2 linked regions of the Rhinolophus ferrumequinum genome follow. The protein of the gene in region 1 purifies or fractionates together with the protein of each later gene. This does not show direct contact. Links are inferred from orthologs where the notes say so. Each region holds a gene or a part of one and is shown in the gene's direction. Other genes may lie near its edges. The genes, in order: L3MBTL3 and SAMD13.

Evidence for each region.
Region 2: the proteins of L3MBTL3 (region 1) and SAMD13 purify together in Homo sapiens (affinity purification with mass spectrometry; 3 studies listed by BioGRID and IntAct, counting the BioPlex papers as one, with this or other methods). This does not show direct contact. The link is inferred for Rhinolophus ferrumequinum from reciprocal best matches to the Homo sapiens genes L3MBTL3 and SAMD13.

Annotation. Positions count from the first base shown.
Region 1 is NC_046286.1:77,799,228-77,811,334, forward strand, and holds the start of L3MBTL3 (lethal(3)malignant brain tumor-like protein 3), read left to right. Parts: upstream 1-6,130; 5' UTR 6,131-6,237; intron 6,238-6,912; exon of another isoform or gene 6,913-7,036; intron 7,037-7,092; exon of another isoform or gene 7,093-7,291; intron 7,292-7,948; exon of another isoform or gene 7,949-8,200; intron 8,201-9,402; exon of another isoform or gene 9,403-9,421; intron 9,422-9,720; 5' UTR 9,721-9,797; intron 9,798-12,066; 5' UTR 12,067-12,107. UniProt on the Homo sapiens protein: Is a negative regulator of Notch target genes expression, required for RBPJ-mediated transcriptional repression. It recruits KDM1A to Notch-responsive elements and promotes KDM1A-mediated H3K4me demethylation.
Region 2 is NC_046292.1:63,239,694-63,251,163, forward strand, and holds the start of SAMD13 (sterile alpha motif domain-containing protein 13), read left to right. Parts: upstream 1-6,209; 5' UTR 6,210-6,389; coding exon 6,390-6,399; intron 6,400-9,550; exon of another isoform or gene 9,551-9,668; intron 9,669-9,754; exon of another isoform or gene 9,755-9,891; intron 9,892-11,052; coding exon 11,053-11,137; intron 11,138-11,470.

The DNA of each region.
Region 1 (12,107 bases):
ATTCAGTTTAGTGAGGGCTCCTCTGAGTTAGGATTGTTTTAACTGTAGTGAAGACAATCAGCTGGACTAGTGACTAAAACTCAGTTTATCTTTTCAGTCTAATACATTTTCAGACTTTCTTGAAACTCCACAGACACCTGATTAGATTTGGGTTTTCGCAAATCTCTTCAGTCCTTTTATAGACCTGAAAGCTAGATTGCTCTTGACTGATTTCATCAGTGTTTTCCCCATTTTATTCTTCTCTGTCTACAAATTTTGATAGTATACATACAGAAGCTCCCAAATTAGGGACACTAGGAAAGAACTGTCTCGAAGTTTTCATAGAAAAATATTGGGAAATTACTGAGATATGGTGAAATGTTTTAATACTGAATTTAAAAATTTTATTAACTTTTATTAACTTAACTTTTATTCGTGAAAGACTTCAAACCCATTGAGAAAGCTCACTTTGGAAACCTTTCTATTGAGTCTAGTTTCTGAAATAAAACCCAGTGAAAGGCATAGCTAGTATAATTTAAAGTAACAGATTGTCTTTTCAAATACTGACATTCCATTCGGCATTCTACATGAACAAAGTAATGTTCCAGATTTTTTTTTTATATAGTTACACTTACAGAATTTACGTGACGAATTCAATTCCAGATATAGGTATTAACCACTGAAACCATGCCTCAGTTACCTCCCTTATGAAAGATAATGTAGGAATGTTATAACAAATATTTAGTTAAAAAACTGAAAAGGGCTTTGAAGTTGTAAAAGTGTAATATAAATGCTAAATAAAGATAATATATTCTGAACAGCAGGCTCCTTTGAAATAGGGCCTATGAATTCCATTAGCACTCTCTGTTTACATGCTTTTAGGAACTTTTAGGAGAATGTCGCCCATGAGTATGCCTGTGACATGATACCTATGGTCTAGTAACCAGCGGGAAAGGGGCAAGTAAAAGAGCGGATGTAATAATTCACATACTAATATTTCCTTGTCATTCAATAAATATTTATTGCATACTTAACTATGTGCCAGTAAAATTCTGGGTGCTAGGAATACTGCAGGGAGCAAAACAGGCAAAAATTCTTACTCACAAGCTAACATTTATCGATTACTAACCATGTACCAAGGATGAGTCTTGCATTAACCCATTATATCCTCAAAACAGCCCCATGAGCTAGGTATTGTTAATATCCCCATTTTACAGATATAGAAACTGAGGCAAGAGAGGTTCACCAAATCACACATTAGCAATTAGTGGAACTGAGATTTGATCCTCGCCATCTGGCCTACATGTTCCAGTAATGAGAACAAAGTGGTTGGGTGCTGGACTGACTACATTGACTTTTTGACTTGGTCTCCTTTAATTTTGTAAGGCTAAAAAGAACAAGGCATAACACATTGCCGTTGCTTGGGGTCTTTTATCTACTCAATTCAAAAAATGATTCAATTTTCTAGAAGGCATGGGGAGTTATGGGGATACTAGTGAAGGCAGACATTCTAGTTATGCGGAGAGTCTTCATGGTGACTACGGAAGGGCCAGGCCTTTCCGAGACAAGAAGGTCATTTGGGAATAGGATGTTATACAGAGCCCAGTGCAGCGCTGGCACCTTTACCTTTATGTGGCTGGCTAACTTCTGCTCTATTCTACCTTATGATTTCTACTTAGGTAGTTTGTAATGCCTAATAGCTAATGAACTTGCACTCTACCTTTTTCTGTCTGTGAATAGTTTAGTTTTTGTAATGCCTATCAACTGACTTTATCTTCAGTATTTCCAGTTCACATGGCCAAGTGTGAGAATATGACTGGTGCAATTTCATCATTTTCAGTCATATGGGAAAGCATACCCTGCTGACTCATAGTCCACCTCTAGCTACTCGATTCAGTCATTGGATTAAATGCTCACTCCTGGACCAATCAGCTGTGGCCAGGAGGCCAGGTTAAACGAAAAGAGCATTCTAAACAGGATCTAAGTGTATCAGCGGCTGTTGTCACAGACATCTTCTCAAGTCTGGCTTGTGCCTCTAGCATTGTTTAGTTATAAGGCTTCTGGATTTGGGCTTTAAATGAGTACGTATGTTATGGAAAATTATAACCTGTCTTTTTCCTTTTAATTTAGGAGTTAGTTTACATTCCCATATTATTCCACACCTTTGAACATGTCTGTCATATTTCTATCTTTACCTTTGCATGTAAACGAAATGATAATAAATATTCACATCTCTCCAGAAGCTCTTTATGTATTAATTTCCTTAAGATGTTGAGAGCATGATACACATTATAATCCTTTCCTTACCTGATGAATAATATACCCTTTTCCTTTCACCCTCAGCATTTCAATTACATTTCACTATCACAAGCTCTGTACTCATAATGTATGCAGATGTATCACAGAAAGATAACCAGGATTCAAATTAGAGTGCCTATATGAACATTTTGGTGTTATCTAGAACACTTAACAAGAAAATCAAACTCAGCTCTTACAAATATCAATAATAAGAATCTTGGCCAAATCAATGTTAACATCATTTTTATACTTGGAAAAACATGGAGCACACAATTACGTAGGCCAAAAAGATCAATAATTTGACTCATATTTAAAAGTAAGATAATACATTTAAAGGTTGATTTCAAATATTGTTCATTTAGAAATTTCTACGAAAGATTCAATTTTACCTTAAAACTTGCACACATTATAACATGGGAGGCTGGGGTTAGGAAAGAAGTTTGTAGCTATGAAAACACATCAAAACTAACTAGCCATTAGGGAATGGAACCCATGACCTTCATCTCATTAGTACCAGGTTTAAACCAACTGAATGAGCTATAAACTGATAACATTTTGATACCTAGCAGATGGATGGATTTTCCTTCCTTACTTAAAATTCCTTTCTTGGTTCCACATTATTTGTACTAAAATGTGATAGTGGTCCTGTTAGGTGGGAAGTATGGGGACGGACATGGTTTTCAAAGAGACCTCAGAAATCAATTACTCTGTTTTCTTAATCGAACTCAGGAGAGAATTGAAGCCCTGAAAAGGGAAATAAGCTCAGTAATGGTTCCCAGTGGGTGGTGACAGAACCAGATTAGAATGAAAATTTCTTGGCCTTCACTCCTGGGCACTTTTCATTTGTGAGGGGCTGGCTCCTGGAGGAGGTTGTCCTTGAGTTTTTCCGTGTCCTATCAATGCAGAACAAGTTTAGTTTTAGGAAAAGGGAGCTTTGGTTTCTCAATGGAAGTTGACAGAGTGAAGGTTGCAGCATGGCGTACAGCGAGAGAGGTTTTGAATGATCTTCATCTGGGAGGTGGTGAGAAGCCTTAGAAACCCTGAAGATTTGTTTTAACACATTTTCCATGGAAAATGATTTTAGCTTCCGAATATTTAGGAATGGAGTAATCTGAAGTTACTTTGAGGGCAATGAGTTTGGAAATAAATAAATACAAAGGAAACTAAAGGAGTGAGCTAAGACCTTAGTTTAGAATTTCAGGGAAGTTATAGACCTGGTCTGAAGGATGGATTTGGTATTGTAGGTGTGGTAGGGTAAAGCAGGGGGGATGGGAAGAGGGGAGAGTGGTAGAGAATGATGAGATTAAGTGATGCCGGAAAGAAAGAATTCATGACTTACTAACCAGTGACTGAATGGTGGAAGGGTGAAGGAAAGCAAAGATGCTTCCACTAGTATACTACCATTTAGGGAACAGATGGAGAAAGGTCATGTGACTAGTACCAGTTCGAATGAAGAATACCGCAGTACTATGTAGATTCTAATACTGCATTGTGCCTCTGTGTACAGTGGTGGCGCCAAAGGATTCTTTGTAGGAAAAATGGTAGCAGCCTTTAAAGTCATTATTATTCTTACACATGAATACCTTCAAAATATTTGTTATTCTGAACCACATCTTGGCAACTACTGAGATGAAATCTTTGAGGTTATATTGATGATCTCTTGAGGAGAAAGACAATGTAGAGACAGCCTCCTGATTTTTGTTAGTGAACTTCAGTAAGTGCATAGGCCCCAGGCAAGCCTTGTTCTCCAAACCCTTGGACTTCTACTCAGGATTTCTCTGATTGGATCACCTTCCCAGAGGAAAGGTGCAAGCACACACCCTGGACACTTATCCTTCAAATCAGCTTAACTATGACTGTTTTTAGAAAACCTTTTCTTATTACTATAGGTGCTCCTCAGTTGTACTTGCTCTGCAAACCCCTACTACAGTATTTACCATACTATAATGCAATGCCCAGTTTACTAGACTGTTTCTCTTGCCGGACTAACTTCTTTTGGGCTTAGTTTTTATCTTGTGTTATTTCCCCAGCACCCTGCAGAGCACTTAGCACAAGGTAGGCCGTTAATAGGTTTACAGACTGTTGAACCAACATCTCTGAAAATATATGTGAAATAGAAATATCATCCAGAACTTATCTACAGAGAATGAATCTAAAATGGATTTTCAGAAAGAGGAATCTAAAATTAATTTTAGTTTCTTTTGGGGTAAGGTCTTAGTTTTGCACATAGCTCGTGGGCTTTCTTTCCTTCTCTTCCTGTAGTTGGCCTTTGGCCATTGCAGTGCTCATTATTCAAGGACTAGAGAGAAAAGGAGAGAAGCTGAAATTTAGATTAATAATGCTGTTTGGGAGCAGCTCTGAAAAAGGTTGGATGTGGTGGGTGAAATGAATAGTTAACTTGCAGTATGAGATTATCTATAGCTTTCAGTAACCCAGCCTTCCACACTTCACCCCTAAGCCAAAGGCTTCCCAACATATGAAGCATATTTTATAAGCTTATTTCAACCTTACAGTGTTTGTTCCTTTGTTCTTGAGTACATATCAAGCCATACACGTATGTCCTGATTTTTGACTTGGAGAATTCCCTCATTAGACCAACAGAAGAAATAGTCTGGTGGTCTGCTTCTCTAGGGTAATTTCATGGTCCTGAGGAAAGAATTTAACAGTTTATTTTCTGAAACTGGTTCAAGGAACATTCCTTAAGTGAAAAAAATTCAATCAAGAATAATATTACTTACATTTTGGAGAAGGATTTTTAATACAGAATTTCCATCTGTGATATATTTCAATTCTAGGCCTCAGGCAGCAATTGCAGATAAGGGCCTCCTTTACTCTTTATTAGATACAAAATAAATAGTACAGTTTCAGGGACTGGGGCCTCTGCCTTACTTTCCCACCGCTGCAAAAATGTAAGAGTTGGTTCCATCATTCCTGAAATCACACAGGCTACTTTATTTCTTGCACAGCAAACTCTGTTATTGACATTAAGATGGTTATCATAACTTCAATTGTTTGAATTATTTTGTAAGTGCTTGTACCTAGGAAAAAAGGAGAATGGTGAGCTGCCCAAAGGAGGCCTACAGTCAATAAATGGAAAGTTGTCAATACCGAAATACAGTACTCTCTTAATCTAGTTTTGATGCCTTAACAAAGGCAGATTTTGCTATTTAGGACCGCTCAGCCATCTTGATTGAATACATTAAAAGGCAGTCTTCGACTTGCTTATTGCCAAGGTACTTTAACACTGATTTCTAAGTTGATGTACGGATCTCAACACACTAGTACTTCATAACAAAGGCCTAACATGTTTAAAAGCCGTCAAAGAGACCAACACTTAAGAAACGGAAAGAACACGCATTTTACACGCATACTTTATTATGCATTCTTCCAGTCCTACAGAGAGGGAGGTTCTACTGCGTAAAAGCTTAAAACTTTATTTCATATTTTTCATGACCTGTGGCATGCATTTAGCCTTTGGGTAGTGTCTGTATAAGACTAAGGCCCACTCTTTAATGGCTGAATGCATACATTGAACAGTACGTGGTGGATTAGCTGCTCTGAGAATTGTCTTTTTAAAAAAGTAAAGTGAAAAATAGACAAAGAAATCTATAACCTTAGCTGTCTTTCAGATTTGTTTTGACTGTTCTTGAACCAGCTCTGAGCCAGTGACAAGGATATTGAAAAGATGCACCTGAAACAGTATCTGCGGGCAGCTGCATTTGCCAATCGGCTTTATTGCTGCTTTCCAGCGGCGAAGGCGCAGCAGCAGTAAGAGGGAAGCCAGAGCGAGCCTCCCCGGCAGCGGCGGCGGCGGCGGCTGCGGCGGCGGCACCGGCACCAGCGCAGTTTCCCCTCTCCCCAGCCCTGACTCTACGCGCACATGCGCACTGCGCCCGCAGCCCTGGACCATTTGTCAGGACTACTCGTGAGACGGAGAAAAAAAAAAGAGAAATTTTGGGGGTAAGAAGCGTTTGATCGGATCTAATCTCTAATTAATCTGAAGATTTGTCCGTGCAAAGGCCATTCATTTATTTTTCTGTGTGAGGATGAAAGTTAAGAGACCTATAGAGAGAAGGAAGCGCACCCTCGTCTTGTGAAACAGATCAGGGGAGGGGAAAGGACAGAAGGGGTTTCTCCCCCACTTCTCTGCGCCTCTGGGAAAGAGGAGAAAACTTAATCCTGGGGGGAAAAGTGGGCAAGTGACTCGGAAATGGCTGGAGGGGGAGTCTCTGTGCATCTCACTCTGAAGTAGTGAGTGCGAGTGTGAAAGAGGAACAAAAGAGAGAGAAAAGAGAAAGGAAAAAATGGGGGGAGGAGAGACTTGTATTTTTTTCTTTGCGCGCACACGGGGAAGGGTGTGTGGGGCCGTGCGGAAGGGAGCCGGGGCGAGGCGGCCGCGTCGGGCTCTCGCCGGCGCGCAGGCGGCGGGATGCGTGTGGGCCCCCTCCCCCGCGCCCCCCCGAGCTTGTCACTTTGGTCGCTTTCATGACACCGGGCGCGGGGTGGGGGAAGCGCGGCGGCGCCGGGCTCCGCCAGGGTGCGTGCCCGAGTGGGCGCCGCGGAGCCGCAGCTCGGGCGGCGAGCGCAGCCGCCGAGGCGGGGGGCGCCGGCGGGGGGCGCGGGGGCGGCTGGGGCCGCGGATCCGTGCGGCGGGAGGCACGAGCCCCGCGCGCCGCCCCTGCGGCCCCCTCCGCCCGTGTGGCCTTTGTGCCGAGCGCGCACCGGAGAGCGAGCGAGCGAGCGAGCGCGAGAAGTACAAGTACGGGAGACCGAGGCAGTGGGAAAAGAGGCCGGGCCACTTTCTCCCCGCTTGGGCTGCGGAGAATGGACTGGTTGAATGTGCAGGCGCGTCTCCCCGGCGTGTGCTGTGTGTGCACGGCGGAAAGGCCTCCCCGACTCCCACCGCGCACACGCACACTCACACGCACGCACACACTCACGGACCCGCGGCGGGGCTCGGCGGCCGAGAGTTTGCATTTTCTTCCTCGCCACCTCCCCCTTCCCGACCGACTGTGTGAGAATTTCATATAGATCAGCTCCAATTTCCGCCATTTTGGGAAAGTTGCACAAAAATAAACCCTCCGGTTTATTTCTGCCCGAGGCAGGAAAGTGCTTCGGGAAGCGAGGCGGCGCGGGCCCGCCGCGGCCGTCCGCGCAGGGGAAGGCGCGGGCCGCGGGCCGGGCCGGGAGCCCGCGCCGTCGCGGCGTTTGCCCCGCGCCCTGCCGCGCCGCGCCGGCCCGGGTGCGGGCGTGTGTCGGGAGGCGGCGGTAGCGGCGGGCGGCGGCGACCGCCGCGCCTGGGCGGCGTTGGGGGGGGCAGGCGCGGGGCTGCTTTTCCTGCAACTTGTTTACGCCGTCCTTATATTGGGGAGGCAAAGAGGGGTCCGAGGTGGGGCCGTTGCCGGCCTGGAGCCGCGTGCGTGTGCCATTCCGGAATAATGGGTTTTGCACACTCGCGTCCTGGGCCCGGCGGGCCGTCCTCGCGCCGCGGCGGCCGGGCGGGGGGAAGTAGAGGCCGACGGGGGTGGGGATCGGGAAGCGCAGGAGCCGCGGCATCCGCCGCGCGCCGGGCGAGCTGGTGTGGGGGGGGGAGAGGGAGGAAAACTTGTGAGTCCTGGAGGCGGGGGGCGGGGTACGGTGGCATGGGCTGGGGGAGGGCGCAACTTTAGTGCTGGTGGTAAAACTTTAATTACCTTAAAAAAAAAAAGGCCCTATAATCCTCCCCCCCCACCTCTGGTGAAAGCACGGCCCACAGTGCGACCGTGAGAGAAAGTTTAAAAGCGGACGATCTCCTCCCCACCTTCCCCGCGGAGGGGTGGGGGTATCTGTCCGTCTGCGCTCCGAGGAAGGTGGGGGTAACAAGTCGCCCTCCGGGGTGGCTCAGACCGTGGCTCTCACCCCACCCTTCTACGGGGAGACGAAGGTAAACGTCGCTTCGGTTTCCCTCCCTCCCCCCGCTTCCTTTTCCTCCCCCTCCCCGCCGATTTTTTGAGGGGACCCAAAAAACGGAGTCTCTTTCCTTATGCAACTTCCTCGGCGCTGTTAGCTCGGCCCTTCCCCCTCCCTGCATCCCTTGGCCCGCTCCTTAACCACCTCGGGTCTACCGCCAGAAAAATGCATTAGAGATCATTCAAAGTGCACAGAAACAAAAATAGATTTTTAATTGTTCTAAGTTTAAGTTAAGGGAAACAGATGAGAAATAAGAACGGGGAGGGGGGTGGCCGGGGCGAGTGCGTCGATTTTTTAATTTTGTTTTTACTAGAGCGTTGTTTGTGATATCTTTATTGATTTTGGGAGCCCGCGAGTCTCCGTACTGGCTAGCTCGGTCGCGTGGATTTTTGCGCAAGTTTTTAGAAAAACACTGACTCGAGTAGAGCATTTCTCCGGAAAGTTTCAAGTGCAGCAAAATAGCGAACGTGCAAAACTGGCCAAGGGGAGACCTCTAGTGGTTAAACGCATCTTTAAGTTCGGAAGGCCGAGAGCAAAGTTTGGCCTTTACTTGGAGCTACGTGGTCCGTTCAGACGTGGAAGTAATTAGAGGACCTGAGCTAGCAGCCAGATGTTGTGTGAAAGGATGCTGATCAGAAATAGAATGTTCAGTAAATCGGGGAGCAAATTGATTCTAAAGACCCAGACCCTATAACTTCCATTCCTTATTATTTATATGGGAAAAATACTTTGCTTTTATTTTGGACTTTGAGCTTCGTCACTCCCTGGATTAGAAATCTATTTTTTTCTTATTTATGGTTGTCTATACATTTGATCAACTTTTAATCAGGAGAAAGCGGATAATTTCATTTTGAATGTTAGTAAAAGTACAAAGTACAATATGTGTTTAAAACTGAAAAAATGAAAAAGACCTTTGGTTGAAATTTATCTTTTCTATGAGCTGATCATTTTATTCTCTAGTAAATATAATTTAAGGCTAGTATTTAGTATCTTTATCATACAGTTATATATAGTCATAAAATAAATGGTCCCTTTTAGTTTTAAGAGTGTAATTTTGTTTCACTGGGCAAGAAATTATTTCTGAATACTTTGTATAATTTGTGATTTAAATACTTAAATATATGGACAAAAACTGATTACATAATATCTATTCTTTTGCCAGTGTGTGTTCTGTGAAGTAACATTAATTTTAAAGGTAAAAGCAGTGAGAGTAAGTTGAATCAAATGATCCCTGTAACCTTCCCTTAATTGTCCTGCACTGGGAGAGACTTTAATGGGTGAATTTAGGATATGGGGAATAATATGAATGGTAAAATTCATTTCACCTCATCCAGAACTAGTTTATTTTATTTTAATATACTAGGTGATACTGTGAAATTATGCAGTATGTTAATGATTCAAAATTTAAATTTTGTAATTGTGGATGGTCGACGTGAAGGCTTCTATTTTTATGATAATGCTTTGATTTTACTTTTCCTATCTTTAAATCAATAGTACACTTTCAGGAGGAGTCTTGGGGGCGGACAACAATCATAAAGACCACCAGACAGTTATTTCTTCACTGCTACTAGGTAAGATTTGCTTGTCGAAACAAATTGCTTGATATAGTTGCAAATGTTAAAGGCTGCATATTGGGATCTGGAAGGAGAGTGTGGGGCGAGAATGGCAGAAAACCATCCTTCTGTGGGGGTTGCTTTGCATGCATGAAAATCTTAACACTGTGATTGAAGCTGGAATAAAACATTGGGAAAAGTTATGAGAGTGCCCTGGATAATCTTTGGACTGGCTCTCTTACTGGATTCTTAACGAGTATTTCAATTGCTGTTTTCTATTGAAAGTAAATTATTTTATTCTTTGGAGTTGAAAAAGTGGGAAAACTAGAACAAAGCAATTGTAAATTAACATAATTGTTGTGTAAGTACACAGTGATATGGAAGATTCTGGAACTTGGTAAAAGTTTGTAGGTGAAGTTGACAGCAAGAACTTTGGGCATATTTAAGTAATTTAACTCCTGTGGCTTAAATCCAACATGGGATGACTTACACCAAACATCATGTCATAGGGTTGCAGTAAGTTTTTAGTGTGTTACCATAGACTTGTTGATTTTTGAACATATCTCCACAGGGAGTACAGCTGTTGTCCAGTCAGATCCCTTTGGCAGTTTTGGAGGGTGCTGATTTTTCCTCAGTAATCCAGGACCTGCTTTCAGGACAGAGGTCATTCTCAGGCAGAAGAGATGGGCCAGCCCTCACTTGGGTAGAGCATCGAAGTACATTTTGCCACTCTAGTGCTTTCTACTACCGTGTTTCCCCGAAAATAAGACCTAGCTGGAAAATCAGCTCTAATGCGTCTTTTAGAGCAAAATTAATATAAGACTGGGTCTTATATTATGAGACATTATATTATATTATATATTGTGTTATATTATAGTAGACTGGGTCTTATATTAATTTTTGCTCCAAAAGACGCTTTAGAGCGGATTGTCTGCCTAGGTCTTATTTTCGGGGAAACATGGTATTTATACCTTTCTCTTTTCTTCCCGCCTTGAATCCTTTTCATTTCCTTTTCTGCTTCTTTTAATTTCCCTTCACTGTCCTGAGTATTAAATGAGTTGCTAATAGTTGTTGGGCAAAAACAGAAGAAAACAGGACTAATGATCCTCTTAGACCACAGGATAGGTGTGGTCTAGATGTCAGCACTGAATAATTACCGATACAAAAATGATTGTTAGCAGTTTATTGTCAGTTTCTGCTTGGGGATTGTCTTGGATAGTGTTATTAGCAAAATGCATAGATATGGTTCCTGTGTATGGTGCAGCAGAGACAGTGGGGCAAGATCCCAACTACAAGAACATCATGCAGACAGAAGTAGAGTTCATGTAGAAGAACTGTGTTTCCTAGGATGGTGAGTCTTGTATTTAGACCTGCTGAGTGGAAGGAAGACAGTGATTATTTTTTCTTCGTCTGGGGAGTTCTGGGGCTATGGCTAGAGTGCTAGTCTCTAAATACCTTGTATAAGTACCTTTACCCCTTTGAGCCTACATTTTCCCATCTGGAAACTGGGAGCAACAGTGCTTGCCTGCCTTCCTTTGTTGAAAGAATCAGATAAAACGGGGTTCTGAGAACTATCAAGAATTCATTCAGGTGTTTGGTAGTCATTTCACCTCAGCCAGGCTTTGTGAAGGACAGAAGGTAGGTTGTTTAGGGCAGAACAGAATGATTTAATTCCTGGCTAAAATTACTAGATTGGTTTCTGGTGTATATGTTATGTGCACTTGTCACGGTACTTCCAGGGTATATGTCTTTTCTTTAGGAAAAAAAGTAGTTTATCTCTTACGGCTCCTTAAGAGAAGGGACCATGTTTTGACGTGGTGCTGAACACCAGCTGAAATTTATTTATCCCAAGCTAGTCATTTAATAGGTAGGAGTAAATGAAATAAATATTTCAAATTTAAAATGATGCCTAATTGTGGAAATGGTAGGGTGATGAAAGTAGAAGGGTTGGTGTGAGGGGAATTCAGGTCCTGTAATTAATATTTTAGTTGCATGAGTCTGCTGGGAAATGAAGATGATAAAATAGGTAACTGGGATAGTAAGGATTTAGAATATAGGGGCCAGAAAATGGATCCTGCAAATGACTGCATTTAGGGAACGGTCCATGGACAGTTGCCCGAACCCCTATGTTTTCTAGACCCCTTTGCTACTTTTTTCTAATTATAACCTAGATAGTTATCTAGATAGAAAAAAAAAGTTACAAGTACTATCTGTCATTATTTTCCGTTTGTTGATACTGAACTTGGCAAACCCTGACAAGTTTTAGTTCACCTCTCTTTTCTTACAGATTATCCAATCAAGGGTCTAAGAATCCAAAAACCCAATAGT
Region 2 (11,470 bases), on another chromosome or scaffold:
GCAAACTATTGAAAAAAATCACATAGAATTTAGTGGAAAATGGCACAGAGTGAAGGTGATTAGAGAGAAGATGAAAGATATGGCCAACAGATAATGGAGAAGTGACATATGAATGACTGACGTCTTTGATGATGTGAGAGAATAAATGGAACTGGAAAATTTACGTAATAGAAGAATTTTCTGAAATAAAGTATAACTTAAAATTACATTTTAAAAGGGCTCACCATATTCCAAGAAAATTTAATAAAAGCTTTTTTCTAGAACTTTAAGGATTGAAAAAAAATTCTATAGTCATCTAAGCAGAGGGTAAAAGGACATCTTCAAAAGCAAAGAAATTGGACATATTCCAAGCAATGTTAGATGCTAGAAGAAAATGGAACAGTGGTTAATGAATATTGAAGAGGGGAAAAATTCTATACCTGGTCTAACCATCTTTCATGAATACTGGTAAGAGAAAGAAATTCTCAAATATGCAACTCAAGAAACATAACATTTATGCAGTTTTCAAATTTGATCAGGAAAAAAATTCAAGACAATGAGCAGATGAGTAACAATAATGAATTCACGAATGAAAAAGTCATGATGTACAAAAGGTTTGGCAATGAGCTTTGAATCTATTCATACATAAAATTATATTTAAATAAGTGGTATTCTAAGTCATGAAAATGAAATACATAATTGTTGTAATGCCTAAATGAAAATTACATAATATAAAGAATAATATTTTGATGGTAATAGACTGGAACATGAATCATAGTTGCTCTCAAAACTAATAGAAAGGTGAGGAGAAAAGAAGATAGTCTTAAGTAGATTAATTTCATCTTTCATCATTTCATTTCTAAGGTAAATTGAGAAATATAAATGTAAACATATTATTGAATACACTTTACAGTGTCCAGATTGGCAGACAGAGTGTGGTGGCGGCCTTCTGAAGTGGCTCCCAATGGTCCTTACCTCCTGGAATTCACGCCCTTGTGAGTAGGCTGGACATAGGACTTGCCTCTATCAAAGAGAATGTGGCAAAATGATGGATTTCACTTCTAAAATTAGGCAATCAAAGACTATGACTATGACTTCTGTTTTGCTCACTTTGTTTCTCTGACTCTTCTCACATGCCTACTTTGATCAAGTTGTGAGTTGCCCTATGAAGACGCCCATGTGCAAGAAATTGAGGCTTTCAAGGGCCCATGAGGAACTAAATCCTGCCAACAACCACAGGGGTGAGCTTGAAAGCAGATCCTCCCCCCAAGCTGAGCCTTCAGCTAAGAAGGGAGCCCAGTCCAATCTTGACTGCAGCCTGTGAACACCCTGAGGCAGAGGACTCGGCTAAGCCATGCCAGGATTCCTGACCAACAGAAAGTGCAAGATAAGAAAGTGTGTGTTGTTTTAAGTTGCTATGTGTTGGGGTAGATATTTACACAGCAATAGATAACTGATACACAGAGGAAGATAAAAATAATAAAAACCAAACAAAAACAAAGAAAACATCATAAAGCAAAAGAGAAAATGAACAATAAGGATTCAAAATGTAAACAGACATAACAGATGAGACTAAACATATCTACTTAAAATAATTTCAAGTGGGATAGAATTAACTATTTTTAACAAATGATTCAATGGGACAAAGGGAGTCACTTTATCATGGCAAAGGATACTATTTACTATAAAGTTATTGCCAGTTTGAATTTTCATGTATCAAATAATGCAGCATCAAAACACATAAAGCAAAACTTCAAGAAATAAGAGGAAAAACAATGTTAGGAAAGTTTAGTAAATTTTTTTCAATTCTTGAAAAATCAAGAGAAAAAATATATATGAATATGCAAGATGTGAATAATATGATCAAAAAGATTGATGATAATATCTACTGTCTAATAGACGCTCAATATGTACTTATTATACGAATTTTATATCTTACAAGGAAAAAAAACCCTAATATTTTAGTATTCATGTAACATCTACAAAAAGAAATCATATGTACAGGGAAAAAAACGGGACAATATATACTAAATATTTAAAAAGAACAACTCTAAAAATGGATCTATTGGAAACTTTCACTTTCTGGTATTTTTTTCTGATTGCTTTAACTTTTACCACATATTCAATTTGTTTCCATAATAAATAAGTAAGATCTTTAAATGTTGCATCTCCTTAACGCTTTAGAATTTTCTTGAATCATTCCATTGTCTTTCTTTCCTTTCTGACAGAAAAAAACTATTCCATCTTCCTTCCAAGAAAAAAACAGTTAGTTCATAGTTCCACCTTCTCTAGAATGTTATTCCATCAATTATCCTCTGTTCAAAATTCTCATGTTTCTGCTTCTAATGGCTTCTTCATGTCACCTTACAAACACAGTTGTCTCCTGTCCCCAGTCAGAGATCATCCCTTCACCTTAAGGGCCCAGCTTCCTCCTGCCCTTCTTTGCTAAAATTCTCTACTGCACACTCCACTTCCACACTTACAAATCCACATCTTCTAGACATACATTTTATTGAATCAATATTGTTTATGGACCTTTGTTCTTAGAGTAATTACTAGCTTGTGACCAAATCCTCAACTCCATCAAAGGGTTAAATCCATGAAAAGGATCAAGGGCAGAGGAGGAGAAGACTGCACTCTGAACTAGCAGGCCCCCCTCCTGGCAGGAGTCCTGGATGAGAATTACCCTGGGACTGAGTCCTCCCTTCCCCAGACCTTCAACATTCCACCAACATGGATTAAGAGTCCACCTGATTCTCAAACCTCTTTGTCAACGTCCATTCTCAAACCTCTGAGTCAGGGAACCCAAATACTCTTCCCTACTCCCCACACAAACAACATCCCGACCATTGTATTCCTTCACTCCTCTGGGACTGGTTTTATTATCCCCTTTATCTCTGTTTATGTCAGTTCCCACAAGAAGTTCCAAACTCCCTAGTCTCTCCCGAAGTCTCATTCCCACAAGGCTTTGAATATCCCCTGATCTTTCTCCATCCTGCTGCCCTTTCCAACCCCTGAAACTTCTCCACTGTGCCCTTTGAATTCGTGATTCTTCTTCCACATCACTCTTCATTGCTACCACTCTAGTCCAAGCTACTATTACTTCTCACCTGGATTACCGCAATAGCTTCTCAGCTATTTGCTTCCACCATTGCTCTCTGTGATTCATAATGGATAGAGCAGTCAGAATAATCCTTTAAAAATATGCTTGACCTTGTCAGTTCTCTGCTCAGAACTGTCCAGCAGCTGCCCATTTCATTTGGGATGAAAGCCGAAGTCCTTGTAATGAATACCCTACAAGCCCTACAAGACTTGTTCCAACCCAGTGGTTATCCTCCAGTCCTCCTGCTTCTCCCTCTCTACTCTCCAATCCAGCCACATCGGGACCCTTGCTGTTTCTTAAAAACTCCAGGCACACAGTCACTGTGTGGCCTATACCTAACTGTTCTCTCTTTCTGGAATGTTCTTCTCTCAGAAACCCACAAGGCAATTCTCTTACCAACCCCAGATCTTTTCTTGAATGTCACCTTCTCAATAAAATTTACCCTGATCACTGTATTTAACATTTCAACCTACACTGCCTCCTGCATTTCCAGTCTCCTTTATCCTGCTTTATTTTTCATAATACTTATAACTTTCTAAGATACCATAGAATTGACTTATTTGTTTATTTTTATGATTTATTGTCTGTCTGCCCCACATTCACATTAGATAGGCTGCAAGCTGTATAAGGGCAGTAAACTTCCTCGGTTTTATTAGTTGATATATCTCAAGTATCTAGAATGGTATCTAGCACATAGTGAACACTCAAAAGATATTTGTTGACTGACTGAATAATGGTTCTCAGCATTGTCAAACCCACTGCCCCTTTTAATAACAAATGTGGGATAACATCCTGTTTAATATGGTAAGGGGAAAGTCATAAGGTACCTACGCATGTCATTAAAAAGATTCAAAGCTATGCTCTAAGTGTAACATAAAGGGAAAGGTAGTATGTGATTCAACATGGAACTGCTCAGGCATCCCTAAACTAAAACTCACAACGAAGTAGTAAGATGCTCGCATCCAACTGCAGAATCGCCATGAAATGGACAGCCACCAAAATGGACTGTATTGATTCAAATTCCAGGAATAGTATTGCCATTCCATTTACTGCATTCCAGAAAAATTTAATATATTTTAAACTCTGTGAAAAAACATTTTATACTTATATATAAAGTGGATTCTAGGCTCAGGTAAACATAAACAGTTTTTTTTTTTTCATCTACATGAAAGAGCTGTGGGATAGTCAAGTCACACAGGATGCAGGACAATTCTTTGCTGTGCAGGACTGTCCTGGGCATTGCAAGATGTTTAGCATCTTTGGTTGACCAATGACATTCTAGTAGTCCTCTTTCTGTTGTCACTGGGACAAGTAAAATTACTCTGGTAACTTTTCAAAACAACTCCTGGAGATAGTTCCACTCCAATAGACTCTTGATCTGTAAATCCATTAGCCTTTTCTCTGTTGTAATTGGCAACCCCCCTGTGGATTTGGACGTATTGATGAGCTCATCCTCACTCCCTTGGCTTCCATGTCACTGCACTCTTGCAGCTTTCCCTTTCCCTTTCCCCAATTCCTTACCTCCCCCGGCCCACCTCTGCTGCCCTTCCTTTTTCCTTTTCACATGATCTTCAACTACCTCTCCTAAAAAATTGATTCTCCAAGTTCCATTCTACATGATATCCAAATGCACATTTCTAATTGCCACTTTGTCAGTCATACACAGAAAGCCTTGAGTTATACATGTTCAAAATCAAACTAGTCATCTTCCTCCAAAACCTGTTATTCCATCAGTTGTACCTATTTATGTGAATGACAACATCATACACTTAATCTAGAAACGACAACCATCTTTGATTTCCTATTACACATTCCTCACATCCAATTGATTGCACTGTTCTGTCCATTTTCCCTCTGAAGTCTCTCACAGCTGCTTCTTTTTTACCTCTGTAGTTCAAGCCATCATTACCTGTAACTTAGAATTTTGTCACAGCCTCCTAACTGGTACTTCTACTCAGATTTATCGTTTGATGCTTCCATAAAAGAGTTTCTGCAGGTAATACGAGTATTTATAAATAATATTATTTCTACTTAGTATGGTGCCTGGCATATAATAAGAGTATAGATAATATTTATTATATTATAATATTAATAATATTATTGAAATTTTATTTATTTAATTAATAATAAATAATAATAATTACACTATACTAAGTGTATTCCATCTCTTTTAATCTGCACAGCCAAATTACAAAGTAGGAACTATTACCATTTAAATCTTAAAGATGAGGCAAAAGAGGTTTGGGAAAGTTAAACAACTTAACCTAAAAGTTACAGGGCTAGCTCCGAGTGACAGCAGGATTCCCAGTCTTTTTGACTTCTAAAATTTCTGTTTGTGTTATATATAAAATTATATATATAATAGATATACACGTTTTCATATCGCCTAATCAAAACCTTCTATTCAGTCTCTATCCCTATCCCACCTTCCTTTTCCTTCCCACTGCATTCTTCCAGTCTATAGGCTCTTCTTTTGGTTTTACTTATCTCGGTATTTACTAAGGACTTATTCATCAGCTATTTCAAGCAAGTCCTTCATAGCAGACTCCTCTTCTTTCACTGTGTCCACCACGTCTGTTCACAGCTCTCCTTCTCTCCATCTCTCTTCCCAGCTGCTAAAATAGGGTTGAGGAAGGAAGTGAAGAGTGTGGAGTAGCTCCAACCTTGGTAGGTGTGAAGACAAAAAAACTTCTTGCACCTTGATTTTTTCTCTGCCTAATTCAGTGTTGCTTTATGGTTCTAATATAATGAACCAATTAAGTAAAAAGTGCTTTGTAAACTGTAGAGTGCGCTACAAATGTAAGATGCAATTATTCACCCTCCCTTTGTATATTAAGGGCTTCAACTGAGTTATTCTGTGAACAACAGAATAGGCGTTCCAAGCAGAGAATGCCACGTGTATGTTTGGGGTGAAGGGAAAATAAGGTCCTAAGTAATACGAACTTGGCCTTTGTCATTAGTGCCAAAACCCGTCTTAAAATTTCACCAGGATTCAGCGAGTAAGACATTGTATTAGCCTGAAAACCACCAATTTTAAGATCTCTCTGGAAGTGTCCTCTTCTTCACAGCTGTCTGGAGGTTTTAAGTTCTTAAAAATGTTCTCCCTTACATTCATAAGGCCCTTGTCTCTTCCTGGCCTCCCCCATTCCTGGTGGCCCCAGCTACGGTACCCTCGCCCCTGCCCGCCCAACGGCCCGCTGAGGACTACAAATCCCGGCATGCCCGGCGCACCCGCCCGGTTGCACTGGGGCTGGGCGTGTGGCGGCTGCGGAGTTCTGTGCGGGAGGAAAGCCTCCCGGTGCTGGCCATGCGGGGAGGTAAGTGATCCACTCATGCTGCCAGGGCACTGGGTACGCGCCCGCCCTCTCCCCAATCCAGGATGAAAGGAAGCGAAGCAGACCACAATAAAAAGCGCCTTGCCCTCCCTCGTCTCTGCAGTGTGTCCGGTACTCCGCAGCTTGTTGCACCCACGAGCGTGGAATCTGTCACTCTGGAGTGGAACTGGGGACAGAAGCGTGCCTGGCCCCGTGGAGAGCTGGGGCTTGCGAGGGGCTGTGGCGCCGAGCTCGCACGCAGGATGGAACCTGGTGAAGGCACCGCTCGGCGGGGCGCACAGCGCGCCACACCCCCACACTCCCTTTTCAAAGATAGGCTGCCCCGCGGAGCCCTCAAACTCAAAGACCAACCGTTTCTTCTTGAAAGTCTTGGCCGTAAACTTTTCCCTCTGTCGCCGGTGCCTCAAGCGAGTGGTTTGGCTTTCGGCCGCTTCTGGTCCAAGACACTTCCTGGTGTCCCCTCACCTACCCTCTGCCCTGCCCCAAGTGCCCCCCTCTCCAGGTCGCTCCTCACTTTCCCTTGAGACACCCTTGGGGACCCATTGAGCTCTACCCTGCCCTCGGGTGACTTCTCGAAATTTCTTCTGCAGAGAAAAAGACCCCACGTGTGCCCTCTGCCCTGCGGGCTGGACACTTGAGGGCTGATTCCCTCCCCCCGCCCCCTGCCCCCAGACCAGAGGCAGGAGCCGGTGGTTCTTTTGGGAGGGTGCTGCCTCCCAGAACAAGTCCTCTGTCTCTGGGGGATGAGTGCTGAGCAATAAAGGAAGCCTAATGGAGGCACCAGTTCCCTTCCGTCCTGATCCACCTCCCTTCCCCCTATCTGAGCCCATTCCCAAGTGTGGCCGAAAGTTCTGCTCCAGAATCCCAACACGAGGATCAATGAAGGTATTTTAGCCCATTCCATAATAGCCTGGATCAAAAGGTCTTGTTTGTTTGCATCTCTTTCTCTCTCTCCACATACACTCACACACACATTGCGCACACTACACGCACACACAACACCCACATATATTACACATAGCACACATATTACAGTCATCACACATGTACATTGCACACACATTTCATTTATGCTACACGCTACAAACACATTTGTATTAGCAGAGAAGAGGGTGAATATCAAACAGTTGGTTGAATGGAGTGAGGAGGAACTGATTGAGTACTAGTATATATGCTTATACTCACAAATGTCAATTTATTCCAAAGTTAAAAACTAGCTGATAAGTGCAATCTGGTGTCAGAATTTAAAATGCCTTTGTGGCTCATTTTTTTACAAAATGGGATTGATTTTCTACACCTTCAGAAACCCTTACCCTTGTCTAACAGGCAAACGTTTGGTCACAGCAGGCAAGACAGGAGGGGATGTCCTTTTCTATATGTAAGAAGAAATCCTGGAAGAATCATCACAGAATCCTTCCTCCTATGAGTGTGTCTAAGGAAGAGTTGAGTGTAACTGCGTTTTCTACTCTTTCCTTTCAAGAGTAGGGAGCTGAACCTGATTTTATTCTGAGCAGAGGCATGGCAGTACCGTCAGGACACCTTCCTTGCCCCCCAGGATTCAAACAGCCCAGCCCTCTTCCATTTGAACTTAGTTGGAGAACAATTCAGGAATTTCAGATCAATTCCAAAAGCATTATAAAATCTGTTGGTAAAAGAGTTCTCTTGTCGGTTTGATCAGTGCTGGTAAAAGACCCACCTGTTGGACCCATGCTCAATAAATGGTGCTCAAAAATATATAAACATTTAGAATTTATCCCTAAATAATTGTTTGCTTTGTCAAGGGTGTAATGGCAAAGGTGGACAGAGAGATTACTTCAAATCTTTCTCAGTGATAATCTCAAGAAGTTGACATTTTTCTGATATTCCTGGAATAAGTAAGAAAAAAATTTTTGACTGAAATTCAGGTTGCAAAGTTTGGTCATGGTTGCTGGTTTTCTAGTGCCCTTAAAAACTACTAAAGAAAAGGGAGGCCAGCAGCTTTCTTCTCAATTCTGCCTGAAATCTATACAATATTATAGCAGCAGATAACTTTTTCTGGGATCCTTCCTGGGAACCTGTATTATCTGCCTTATCTTGAGTGGTTTTGTTTACACCTTGGCCTAAAAGTGTTCAAATATTGATTGGTGTTTATTTCAATGACAACTATGTACGTATATTTCCTGTACATCTGCAGCGTGTTTGTGGAATCAGAATGTTTCCCAGCCACGCAAGAGAACTGTGAAATTGACCAGGCTAACAATGAAAAGATCATGTCCAGTCTCTCTATTCCACCTCCCAGTTTCCTGAATTGGGATTTAGGGTGGTGGTGGTGGGAGATACTGTGAATTTGAGGGGTGACAGAATATCTTGTTTTGCATATGCAACTAATAGAGTACCAGTTACTCATAGATAATATGTTAGTTGAATTTATTGTGCAACTGGGATAAACAGTTAAAATTAAACCTGGCAGAACTAATTGTTTTATAGAATAAGGCTCGTTTCATTTTGAGTTTTTGCTGACTTCATCTGGGAGGATGAATGCCAAAATAAAAGAATGTGGGCGTTCTCAGGAGATCTGGTCATCTACTTTGCATCCTCTCTGAAATATGTTACTTCCTGTATAATAAAGTAAAAGGATTTTCTGCTGGGCAGTACTTTCCTTATCCTCACAAAGAGATTACTTAAAAGTCAGCCATGAGAACTTTGTCCACAAGTCTATTAGGAAGAAAGAGTAACACAGGACTGCAGCTTCTGCGCGTTCACTGGCTATTGCCATAAGTACTGGGTCTTTCTCTTATTGCCTCTTATTTTTTTTCTCCCACAGAGATGAAAAAGAAATAGTTTGAAACATGACATTCATGTTTAGAACCACAGCAAAGACTTATCATGTAGCAACAATGAAGGGGAGGGAGAAAACAAGCTGTAGATACAGCTCGTTTTTCTTTGTGCAAGACAGGTGCAGGGAGAATTCTGCAGTTTTTGGACTCGTGATTCATTCACTTCCACTAATTGTGCTGAAGGTAGTTAGCAAAAGTGAACAGGCACACTGTAGCTTTAAAAAGTCAGCCATGAACCAGAAGGCAGTTGGTGCAGCTTGTGTGTGATTCCTAACGTCATGTTGGCTGAGAGCCAGCCTGGTTTTATTTCACTGTGTCAAATTGTACCTCCTTATTGAATTCCTTTGCCAGCCTACTTTGTGAAAGAAAACATTGGGGTTTCTTTGGCTGTTCTTGATAAGCCTATAAAAAATGACATGTTTTAGTTGCTTCTAGGTAGGTTTTTTTTTTTTACTCTTCCACAAAAAAGAAAAGAATAATAATAATAATAAGACAATGTAGTGTGGTGTTACAGAATATCATTGTGTTTTGTTTTGTTTTGTTTTCTGAGATGCTTAGAAAATGGTGAATATGTAACAGTTTCCAACTGAAGTGAAATCATTCTTTTGGCATGGAGCAGCAGCACTGTCTTCTGTCTACTGTGTTACGGTGTGTGAATGTATGTTAATATCTATATGTATATGCAATGTTGGATTTCTCTATGAATGATCTAAGTGGTTTAGCAACTGGAAGTTTGTGTGTATGCGTGTGTGTACCAGTGTATCAGGAGTGAAGATTATCCCACTACAGCATTATTTGTTAATCATCTACTTCTCTAACAGTGATAAAATCTTGTGAATATACTTAATGATGTACTTGTCATGTCAGAGTAATCCCTAGAGAAGGAGTGCCGAAGTATAAAGTGATTTGAGAGGAAATGTATTTAATTTATGGCTTCAGCTGTAGAAGAACAAGCACGTTTCAGAACTAGTTTTTTTTTTTTTTTAAGCAGTTTGTTCATAGCTTTTTCAGCTTGCTAATTGCATATTAATTGTGGAAGGTTTTTTATTTTTTTCACAGCCCTCATCCTACTAAACAAAAAGACTAAAGTGATGGATGCTAAAGTGATGGATGTTATTTTCCTTGAATGATGTGGTGATTTTTACATAAATCTAATTAGCTGCCTAACCTCTCTTACACACACACACACACACACACACACACACACCCTTTCTATGCTAAGGGCTCTCTGACATGTTTGTGAGCTTCAGTTTTACCAACGGTATGGCCATATCACAGGTTTCTGAGGCTTTCGCTGAGAGTATGTGAGGAAGGGGGATACTTGCTGACAAAAGCTTTAAGTGCTCTTTTGCATTGCAACGAAAAAAAATATAGAAAGAGTGGGGGTGGGAGTGGACCAAAAAATATGCAATAAGAAAAAAAAATCACAGCCCTTGGTGGGAAAGGGCAGGAAAAGGGGGATTGTTTTTCTCGACTTTGACTCATTTATGAGTTGCAGTGTCTTAAGTGAGAGCTTGGCACCCAGAGGAAGCTGTGCCAGTTCACACAGCACTTGTTTTGAACAAGGATTCAATTTCATTTGCAAATGCTCATTGTCAAGGCAGGGAGTGCCAGTACAGATGAAAGCACCCCAACCCGTCTCCTCTAGTTCTTTAGGTTAATCACATCTCTCCAATCGCTGAGGGAACTGGAGATTTAAACAAACATACGTGAACTGGTGTGAAGCTGTGAAAGGAACCATTATGTTTCCGATTCAGAATATATATTCTTCTCTCACTTTCTAAGAATTAAACACAAGCTTTTCTCCCTTATTGATTAGTTGCTGAAGTAAAGGAACCCTGCAGCCTTCCCATGCTATCTGTTGACATGGAAAACAAGGAAAATGGCTCTGTCGGTGTAAAAAAGTAAGTGAAACTGGCTTGTGAGTTCTGCTTCTGCAAACAACAGAGGGACTTGGTTTCTATATTTATACTTCTTGCTAATCTAGTACAAGACACTGTTTGGGACTTGCCTTGGTTGGTCTACACTGGTCAGCAGCCTGCCTTCTCCCCCCGACCCCAGTTTCCTTTTTCTATAATCTATTTCTAAGACAAAGATGACTCAGACATCAAACTGTGCATAAAGGGGTTAGTATACCAGGCTTTGGAACAGTGACAGTTGAGGATTTCTGCCCTGCATTCTGTATATGGAAACAAAAACGTGGAGCAAACCTGCCTTCCAAGCCCATAGGCTGCAAG